2 linked regions of the Neodiprion lecontei genome follow. The protein of the gene in region 1 binds, or shares a complex with, the protein of each later gene. Links are inferred from orthologs where the notes say so. Each region holds a gene or a part of one and is shown in the gene's direction. Other genes may lie near its edges. The genes, in order: tRNA-splicing endonuclease subunit Sen34 and uncharacterized protein LOC107227980.

Region 1 (4,942 bases):
TTGACCAAAATTCAATATCACGAGCAGAGATATCAATGATTTAAAAAACGATTGTAAAATTAGTAAGTTCAAAATGACTAAACTCTTGTGATTTTGATCAGGTTTTATTGTTTTTGGGATTCTTTTGACCGCTGACTAGATCTCCACAAATTTTTTCAAAAACATTCCAAAATTTTACATCATAGGACGGTTATAACACGCACATGTGATTGTTGACAAACACTTGTACTGTATTCACACAAATCTATTTGCATCTACACTGAGGACAACCGTTTGTGAAATACTTTTCCGGAAATCTCTGGAGATTTCTATCGTGAGAAAATAAACCCGAAAGCATAGGAATCACATGAGAAATACTAGAATTTAACCATATTCAAAGTTCTAGTTGTTAAACTTTTTCTCGAATTGCTGATACCTTAGCTTCTGTAGTTCCAATTTGGTCGAAATTATTTCTCTCTACGGTCCACTCTAAATGCGAATAAATTATCCATTACTCGTAGATACGTAAATCTATTATTTCTTTTCCTGAAAAAACAAGTGAAATTATGTCTAAAAACTGGTAAAAACTAAGTCTACATACGCGTCGAATGCCGTTGCAAGCCGGGAATATGTTGCACATAAAATATCGGCGTCGATGGTTTAAAATTTTTTCAACATTTACCTTTACTCCGTGGCGATTTGCTGCAACGTGTACATGTATTCATACAGTCTTCTAAATAAAGGCACTGCGTAATTTTTGTTAATTCTTCAACATTGGTGACAAGTAATCAGGCAAAACAATAATACCATCTTGTTGGTTCGTTCTAGCAACACACAATCATTCTTCTGTACCATATAAGATGCCCAATACATGTATGTAAACATGCGAAATACTCATCTTTCTGAGATTTAAATTCAAGAGCGAGCAACTTCAGGTTTTCCGTTGACAATTAGGAGCGCGGGCTTCTTGAATAACAACTATGTTAAGTTTGTGTAAATTTATCAAGTTAGAAAGAAGAAATATACTACTTCCAGGTAATTTTGAATATAATCATTGTCAATTTTACAAACAATTAACGGACACCTCAAAATTTGCCGATATCTCATTTAAGTTTCGCTGTCTGCCGTGCTATTCGTGATATATTTATAGACTATATTATATCTCTGTATATATAGGTACAGGTCCTGCAGCGAACTGAAATTTGAGTGGCTGAGGTAGCCGCGTTATTGTCCAAATTTTTTTTGCCACTACTGGCCACTACGCAGCGCTGTCAGTTATTCATAGGCATATAAGTGTCATTAGCCCCCTGACACTCACCATTGCTCGTTTACTAAAAATTTGTACGCGTTTTGTCCCCGTTTTTTAGTTCCTCTACGTGGCGCTAGTAGACTTCTGACACGCTCGCTGCCCTCGCTGACCGCACGCAAGCTCGTCAGACAACTACTAGCGCCAGTAGTGGTGGAGATTGGCGGAAGAATCGAGGGACATTTTGCGAACCACTTTTAGCAGCTTGTGTCAGGGGGCTGAGTGACATTACACGTAAGGTTATCTGTCATGAGTATCAAAGAGATTGGTTAGGGTTCCGCCAAATAATAATAATAAGCTTATGAATAACTCGTAGCGCTGCTCCTGTGGCCATAAGTTGTACTTTTGTTTCGGACGTGAACTGACCACCCCCCACCACGTTCGTTGCAAGACCTCTATGTGACACCGTGGTTTTACCAGAGATGAGTAGGGAGATCTCCAACGCTCGGCTTTTCGTGATACCAGCTAGGTTGGAGCGTCGACGTGACACCTAGGCGGCCACGCACCGAAGGTGGCCCATTTCCGACCTGACACCTAGGCGGCCATGCACCGAAGGTGGCCCACAATCGTGCATATATAGATATACTCGGTCGCTCGAGCAAGCGGTTGCCAATCGCATCCTTGTCCCCGCTCGCACTAATGTTTCCAGGAATGCAAGAATTGGGATTTTTTTGTTTCAATTATGAATGTCAGCGAATAAAAGTATCTCCAGATTTGATAAATTTTGGATTCAATTAGCGGACGCTGAACCAAAATAATTAACCATTCCCAGCCCGAATACTTCTTTTTTTTTAATAAATATTATTTTTTTATTGATATGAAAATATGTGACGCCTGGTGTTCTCGAATATTTGTACGCGCTGTCTATGGAAAAATATACGAAGCCAGCTCGATAACATTTATGCAAAATGTGCAATGGGCAAGTGGTTGGAGGAAATTTTTTTTTTCTCGAACTGAATCTTCCAGAGAACCATCAGCGAATTCCAAGCAAGCTCCATAAACATACCGAGCAAACGCGCGATCACGGACGTAGCTGTGGTGTGGCTGAGTGGATACCACATGAGGATGAATTTTCAATCACAGGTTTTTGCGCGAAGTTTTCCTGTATTTAAGTTAATTACTACTGCCTTTGCTATAATACTGCATTCAAGTCTTAAACAAAACACTAAAAAATAAGTTAACCACTTAATGTAAAACAAAATGTTAGATCGAGCTTAAAATTTAAGCCGGAGTTACATAAACTAAGATAATTACAAGTGCAATATTGTAAATATTGAGCATTTATTGTTCATCTAAATAAATATGGTTTCCTCCTCAAAAAAAAAAAAAAAAACATGAGGATGGAGTGATGCGGGACACGGGTTCGATCGCAGTTCACTCTTTTTTTTTTTTTATTTTTAAATTCAATCCCGGCTTTTTTTTTTGTATTTTCGGAGAGAAAAAACAAATCAAAGAAAGAAAATTTCGAGAGCCGGTCGATTTTTTCCTTCTTTCCTTTTGCTTTTTTTTTTACTGAACCCACCTTTTTTGTAGTGGGGGTAACCCGGAAGAGAACAAATAATTGAAACAATAAAATTCCGAGAGCGAATCGATTTGTTCCGCGTTTTTGGCGCCTCTTTTTTGATATGGAAAAGTTTTGACAGTAATGGAAAATAGAGATTACTAAACGCAAATGTATTGTTTTTTAATAACACCGGCCCACAGAAAAAAAGTGGCCTGTACTTTTGACCGGACCTACCTATCTTTATGTATTTTGACGCGCTGAATCCGAATCTGAAGTCAGTTTTGCCCGTACACCCTCAAAATTTTGAGTAAATTGCAAAAAAACCATAAAAATCGCCAAAAATTAGCATTTTTGGTAAGAAAAAAATTTATGGAACTATAGACCAAGTATGATTTTTATGCATTTTGGTCCGCTAAACCCAAATCTGAAGTTTATTCAGCCATAAGCCTTTTAAAATTTAATTGGGCCGGTGTTATTAAAAAACAATACATTTGTTTTTAGTAATCTCTATTTTCCATTACTGTCAAAACTTTTCCTTATTAAAAAAAAAACGCCCATTTTATATCAGTCTTGACGAGCATTTCTTAAGAAGTTTGAGAGATGCGAGATCGGAACGACAAAATTATTTCAGTAGCAACAATGTATGGACCCCTCTCCTTTTCTGATATTCGCAGCCAGTTGAGAGGCTTCACAGTGTTCAGTTTAGTGCCAGCAGCTCTCGAGGTAGCAAGATGGTAAGTGAATTACATAATTATTTTACATGTATGGAAAAACCGGCAGGTTTGACGATCGTCTATTTACTTTATAGATTAAGAAGAGAAAAAAAGGGAAGGACCTGTAGTCGTATTTTATACTTTATTTAATTTTCCTTGAATTGTCAGACGTTTTTATTTTTGATTGTATAGGAAGAAGATGTGTGGGGAATTCCATTCTAGTGCCCAAGAATATAGTACACATTTTCGATCATTTTTTCTTTTTTTTTTTTGGGAAAACATTTTCCTCAATTTCCAAATTTCCTTAATTTTTTGGTATTCAAATCGATTCTTAACAATTTTGCGCACAGGTGGGATTTCTTTAATTATTTTTTTCCTAATCCTGAGGATATTTCCTATCTGAGACCACTGTCAATAGGCGAGATTCCGGATATTATAAAATTACCTTTTTTTCTAATTAAAAAGAAAATCACATAAGGCCACTAAGAACTCGAAATGAAAATCTGACAAAATTAGAGATGTTTTTTTATATTCGAAGCCATTAACGTAAATAATCCGTTCAACGACCATCCTAATAGATATACATTGTATATGGGGCATTCCGCGTCAAATTTGCAACCCATGTACCTCACCCTCTTCGATTTTGATAATTCTTTAGTATGATGTTACAACCACGGTTTCAATCGACTTGAAACAGTGTCGGAATTTTTTGCAGATTTCTTTAGCCACCACTGAAAGAGAAAAAAAAATGAAAAACCAATTCCGGAAACGCTTCTTTTAAAATTCTGAAAAAATTCACACTGATTTTATAATTAAAAATATGATTTGTAAGCATGACAGGACAACGTGATCTTAACATCTACTACTTTTCTAGCAAGTTTTTGGTTTTCTTGGATCTTTGGATAACTTAAAAAAAAAGAATGAAATGGTATGAACTGTATTCAGGCCTTCTGGCATTCCTCTAAATTTCAGAAAAATTGATATCCATTAATAATAGAGAAATTTATGACCGAACAAATAAATAGAAACTCCAATTCCGGCATGAGAAAAAAATGCTTGCTAGAAAAGTAGTGAATGTTGAGATCACGTTGTCCTGTCATGCTTACAAATCATATTTTTAATTATAAAATCAGTGTGAATTTTTTCAGAATTTTAAAAGAAGCGTTTCCGGAATTGGTTTTTCATTTTTTTTTCTCTTTCAGTGGTGGCTAAAGAAATCTGCAAAAAATTCCGACACTGTTTCAAGTCGATTGAAACCGTGGTTGTAACATCATACTAAAGAATTATCAAAATCGAAGAGGGTGAGGTACATGGGTTGCAAATTTGACGCGGAATGCCCCATATACAATGTATATCTATTAGGATGGTCGTTGAACGGATTTTTTACGTTAATGGCTTCGAATATAAAAAAACATCTCTAATTTTGTCAGATTTTCATTT
Region 2 (5,877 bases), on another chromosome or scaffold:
GCACCTGCTGAAAAATGTCGAAAACACAGGTTCTCGTTTTTCGGCTGTAACTTTTGATGCGTTGATCGCAGCGTATTGGGACTGCGCCCAATCGATTTCTCTCGCAAAACTACGTCGGAATGGTGCATGAAAGAATTTATTCCAGCACTTTTCAAAATCGCGAAAATTTTCGCCAAAAATGCAAAGGGGTTAGCCTTGCCTTTTTTTTAGCCGAAAAATTTTTGGTCCCTGATTCGATTTAAATGACCCTTTCCTGACCATTTGGACCCCTAGGAACTCAGAAAACGCAGCGAAAACAGCGTGGGATCAACAGGAGAGAAGTTACGAAGGAAAAAGCACCTGCTGAAAAATGTCGAAAACACAGGTTCTCGTTTTTCGGCTGTAACTTTTGATGCGTTGATCGCAGCGTATTGGGACTGCGCCCAATCGATTTCTCTCGCAAAACTACGTCGGAATTGTGCATGAAAGAATTTATTCCAGCACTTTTCAAAATCGCGAAAATTTTCGCCAAAAATGCTTTTTTTTTAGCCGAAAAATTTTTGGTCCCAGATTCGATTTAAATGACCCTTTCCTGACCATTTGGACCCCCAGGAACTCAGAAAACGCAGCGAAAACAGCGTGGGATCAACAGGAGAGAAGTTACGAAGGAAAAAGCACCTGCTGAAAAATGTCGAAAACACAGGTTCTCGTTTTTCGGCTGTAACTTTTGATGCGTTGATCGCAGCGTATTGGGACTGCGCCCAATCGATTTCTCTCGCAAAACTACGTCGGAATGGTGCATGAAAGAATTTATTCCAGCACTTTTCAAAATCGCGAAAATTTTCGCCAAAAATGCAAAGGGGTTAGCCTTGCTTTTTTTTTAGCCGAAAAATTTTTGGTCCCAGATTCGATTTAAATGACCCTTTCCTGACCATTTGGACCCCTAGGAACTCAGAAAACGCCGCGAAAACAGCGTGGGATCAACAGGAGAGAAGTTACGAAGGAAAAAGCACCTGTTGAAAAATGTCGAAAAATACGTGTGTCGTCATGGGCCGTAACTCTTGATCCGTTGCTCGCAACGTATTAGCACCAATTGTAAGATAGCACCACCTTCCTTTTTATTCCTTGAATTTATCGAAACTCAACGGTCTACTCTATTTAGCCTACGAAACAAACTGGTGAGATTTCATTTGTAACTCATCGAGATTACAAGTATGTGATATGCGATGCTGGGTGAACTGTGGTACTGGCATTTCCCATGAACAATTAAGTATGAATATTCAGTCGAGGATTGTTAGTGTCACCTTAGATGTGTTGAAATCAATCACATCAGGTGTTGTGATGCATTTATAATTCACCGCAATTCGGAAATGAAAAGACCGGACACGTATGTTAGTCACGTCAAAATACCTTATGTAGTCATCTTTCACTGATGACATAAGTACGCGAAATAAATACCAGGTTAATTTTCATTACCGTTTCATCATTCTATTCCAATAAACAATTTTTATCAGAAGTGGTGAAAAAACAACCGCCTGACGCATCGTATTTCTGCAACCTGCGATACACGAATCATTCGGATCCTGCATACACCGACCTGATGATGGCGGACCCTGTTTCACTTGTTGTTCACAATGAGTTTTGACGTTTACACCAGAGATGAGTTTCTGGTGTTACTCGGTAGGAGAATGCAGCCAGCATCATGTCGAAATCGGCCACTCTCAGATGTTCTGCAACAAGTTCTCAACTCTACCGTCGAAACATCTCTGGAGGCGCAAGCGCACAACGATTTTCGTTAGTCATACCAAAGTCCATTAGGGAAACTGTCTTTATATTGTTCAGTCAAGGCATGTACCGATCTGAAGATGGCGGACTCTGTCTCACTTGTGGTCGACAATGAATTTTGACGTTTTCACGTGAGGATTTTCTGTCACCTCCGCTGTTGCAGTTCAGACTTTATATTTACCACGCCATTTTAAACGCATGACAAACGTATAAGGCCCAGTGAGCATAATGTATAGCACGTGTCATCCAGCAGTGAGTACTTATTTATCGGTTGACATCTGGAAATTCGCATGTCAGGTGTTAGAATGTGGTCAGAATAAACATTCGCTCACTTCAAAACCACTTTCTACGTCAGAGACTACGGAAATTAACTAATACGCTCATTCTTTCAGTTTTGCGATATAGAAAAACTTGGCTGCACGAATGCTCTGCAAATCACGATTGCATTTCAAACATACATAGAACTGTGCGAAGGTATGGATATACTCACCGACTTGATTAAATAATTGTGATCCAACACATCAGACGAAAACGTCTGGTGGCAGAGAATCTACTATTCTAAGAGAGTTTCATCTAGTTATGAAAGTTTTATCTTATTTTTTTATTACGACACATGACTTCATGTAACAAAATGATGGTTGTTTGGCAGTTTTTTATACCACAATATTCGTATAATACGAATCTAAAACGATTGGTCCATTTCTCTTTGTTATTTTGGTATTTTATCGCTTAAGCATGCTCATATGTTTACTGCTAATTTGTCTTCAGGACAGAATTAAGAACGCTACTGTAGGTGTAACACGAAACATTCCTTTCATTTATGAATCTTGCAAAATCTAAAATTTCAAGTAGCACGTTTTATTTTCATTCCTATTACTGGTTTTAGTGAAACGGTTTTGGGACGTACAGTACAAGTATAACAAATCACTTGACTTGATCTATCTGGAAGCTTGTGCAACCAAATCATCTCCATTGCAAAAATACATTCCATGGCCAGCAGTAAATGCCATATCTTTGAATCATATCGAGCAAATGCAAAAGGAATTGAAGAGTGAACGGTAACTTTAGAACTTACTGGTACCATGTCTTCAATCATTTACTTGTTGCAGAGAATGGACTGACAATAATTTATATTGTTTGTAGATTGACACTGGTTTTCGTAGAGGGAGACAGTACCAGTATTTATTACTGTGTTTCAGCTGGACTTGTAAAACCGGCATCGCCAGAACAAAGCAAAGAGTACAAAAAGAGGCAAGAAAAGAAAATTGAATTGGAAAGTGAAATAAGAAAAAATGCTTCAAATCTCTATGAATTAGCTACTTCGGTAGAAAGTAAAGAGAGTCAAAGCAATCCTGAATTGTCTGCAGGGGATTGAAACGCACAGTTCATACTTGAAATATAAGTCAAGCAGAAGAATTGCTCCGTATAAAATTATTTAAAATAATTGCAGTCAAAGAGTTTTTTTTCCTTGTATTTATTGTATGCATAATTTTTCTTGGGCATATTATAAGTTTATAAATTTTAGAGTTATCACTAAAAACTACGCAATTAATTAATATAATATTGTATCAAGCTGCCACTGCAATTATACGTATCAAATAAATTAATACTTTAAAATCATCACGTAGGCATCATGGTTATTAGTTGTTTAGTATATAAACTATAAAGTATGAGGCACATAGTACAGTTTTCTTTGTCATAACAGGTATGTTGAATATTAGGGATAGTGTAATGAATGCATCACCGAACACATCTTAAGATTAAAACCTAACAATGTTATTAGGTAAATGTATGTAAAAATTGAGTAAGGAAACGTTTTTACTGTACTAGTAAAAACTTTCAAAACAAGAAGTTATATGACTATCTACAATTGAAGATTTATTGGGTATTTCATGTTGTAATTTATGTTATATACACCATACGAATTTGTTATTTCCCGAATACATGTTAATATGTGCTTCTTTTAGAGTCACGTGCAAATTATTTGATCGCGTAACTATACAGTTAAAAGTGGAAGTAATGGAACTCAACATTCAAAGTGATAAATCTTATTACTTGTTAAATAGACAGTTCAGTCATGATCGATAATTATTTAATGCTTCCTAAAATAGTAAACAACGATCAAAAAAATATGATGATTAATAATAATAAATCAATCGAGAAGATACCGTAACGTGAGTAGTTTGGTAAGAATTGCTCTAGCTTAGAAATAAACGGAAAGATTATTTGTTTCCCGGATAAGTGTTCAGTTTTGGCAGTTCAAAGTTGCGTCGATGATATAGAAGCAAAGTAGGTGAACAATGCCTGCAGAACAATATATTAGTATTTAGCTTATCAAGACGTGTTACTGTAATTATCAATAATTGTTGAAATTATTTCAACACGCATTCAAAAATTACAATTTTCTTCATATCAATGAATCGAGGTTGACATTAATACAAAAATCACATATGTATTAGAATAAACTATGTTCTTGGCAACAACTTATACTACGATTATGATTCATTATGTTGGATATGCAGTTAAAATGATTTTTCTTTTTTTTTTTTAATTTTATTTATATTAAAATTATTTTACTTTTGACGAATACGATCGTAATCTATATCTGATCGTTTACCTTCATTTTCTTATAAAGTATAGAATGTATCCTGTGAGATGATTTCTAAAAAGGTATTTAAATTAGGCCGCTAATTAATCATACCACAGTTGCCTAATCACCGAAGGTACAAAACTGGATTAAAACTCCATAATGGGTCCATCAGATGTTTTTATGATAAAGTATAACGTGAGCACCTCCTGATATTGATCAGTGTTGATTATAATATATTATAAAAATGCTTTATAAAATAGTTACCAAATAATTTTTATTTCTTATTTACCATTGTATTAATTTTTTAATGCAATAAGGCAACTATTCATCGAGATTTTCTCGAAACTATCACAAATATTTGCATTATTTTTATCGATCAATTTTTATTGTTTTTATTTACCAATATCTCACGGACAGTAATTTAAGAGAACTGAGCTTTTTGCTCAAGATAGAAAAGCAACTCCGAAATCACATTCAATATTGTTATAGAATATCAGATTGATTGGTATGAATTTACCAAAATAAGTCCTAGTTATTTAACATGGTTCTTGCATGATTTGTTTTTTTATGAGAAAAATTTTATAACTTCATCAAAATAATCCGTAACCTTGATCATTGCTTTGATTGTCAATTGTGAAAAGTAAAACTGATACCACATAACCTGGTCCAGATTTAATAGCTTAATAAAAAAATTGCCTTTGAAATGAGAAAGACTTGTGTTTGTAACAACTAATTATATTCTCAATTCTTATATTTTATCATACTACATAAAACATTTCTCAAGCCTGTAAATATTGTCAAAAGTGAATGTATTACATCAATGCACTTTGTAACTATGTTGGCATTTTCTGAATTAAACACATGAAACAAGCATGGACTACGTCGACTTTTTTCCCACAATTTTCGACACCTACCGTTCGAAAGTTCAATCTCCATTTGAAACCAATGCAAGGAAAATAAACAAAGAAAAAAAAAATAAATAAATAAATAATGAGCGACAATTGAGGGTCAATTTTTACTTTAGTGCTGTGATCTTGACAGCAAAATTCAAATTGTGCATTGATCAGTTATCAAACAGGCTGTGAGCAAATAGCATAATTATTATAACTTCCGTCCTAACGAGCAAGTTTTCTTTTGGCCAATACAGAGTTTATACACATACTTTCATAAAATTGAATTATACACTTTTGCTGGTAGAAATTTTATCTTTTTATAATTCAAAGGCAATATCTCATAATAATACAATTAGAGGACTTAATTTTTACATAATCAATAATCGCAAATGTGCAACTGTAGTTGAAAAAATAATATACAATTAATTGTTGATTCATGATTGTGTGTGAATTATTAACTATGTCGTACACATAGGAAAGAAAACGTGCTGGCGTGGAGAATATTACATTGGAATTACCTACGTGTTGGAAGCAAATTATATCACTGCAAAATAAATTTTGTGAATGAAACTTATAACTCTTATGCGAATGAACACTAGAAGACTACATAGTCTGCCTCTGTAGCGATTG

Evidence for each region.
Region 2: the proteins of tRNA-splicing endonuclease subunit Sen34 (region 1) and uncharacterized protein LOC107227980 are in contact, whole or in part, in a crystal structure (PDB 6Z9U), measured with the Homo sapiens proteins. The link is inferred for Neodiprion lecontei from reciprocal best matches to the Homo sapiens genes TSEN34 and TSEN15. Residues at the interface, in NP_001070914.1 of Homo sapiens: Pro251, Leu252, Arg253, Phe254, His255, Ala256, His257, Tyr258, Pro265, Glu266, Asp267, Thr268, Ile269, Pro270, Leu271, Gln272, Leu274, Ser283, Val284, Arg285, Lys286, Thr287, Leu289, Leu290, Cys291, Ser292, Gln294, Val300, Tyr301, Thr302; in NP_443197.1 of Homo sapiens: Leu70, Lys74, Trp76, Thr108, Pro109, Ile110, Thr111, Ala112, Ser113, Leu114, Ser115, His116, Asn117, Ile119, Arg120, Leu123, Leu141, Ile143, Val151, Tyr152, Tyr153, Lys154, Leu155, Thr156, Asp157, Gly158, Phe159, Met160, Leu161, Pro162.

What each region holds. Positions count from the first base shown.
Region 1 is NC_060264.1:17,183,784-17,188,725, reverse strand, and holds the start of tRNA-splicing endonuclease subunit Sen34, read left to right. Parts: upstream 1-1,680; 5' UTR 1,681-1,695; intron 1,696-4,942. UniProt on the Homo sapiens protein: Constitutes one of the two catalytic subunit of the tRNA-splicing endonuclease complex, a complex responsible for identification and cleavage of the splice sites in pre-tRNA. It cleaves pre-tRNA at the 5'- and 3'-splice sites to release the intron.
Region 2 is NC_060261.1:8,991,417-8,997,293, forward strand, and holds uncharacterized protein LOC107227980, read left to right. Parts: upstream 1-1,797; 5' UTR 1,798-1,992; coding exon 1,993-2,016; intron 2,017-2,156; coding exon 2,157-2,238; intron 2,239-2,650; coding exon 2,651-2,822; intron 2,823-2,907; coding exon 2,908-3,139; 3' UTR 3,140-5,306; downstream 5,307-5,877. UniProt on the Homo sapiens protein: Non-catalytic subunit of the tRNA-splicing endonuclease complex, a complex responsible for identification and cleavage of the splice sites in pre-tRNA. It cleaves pre-tRNA at the 5' and 3' splice sites to release the intron.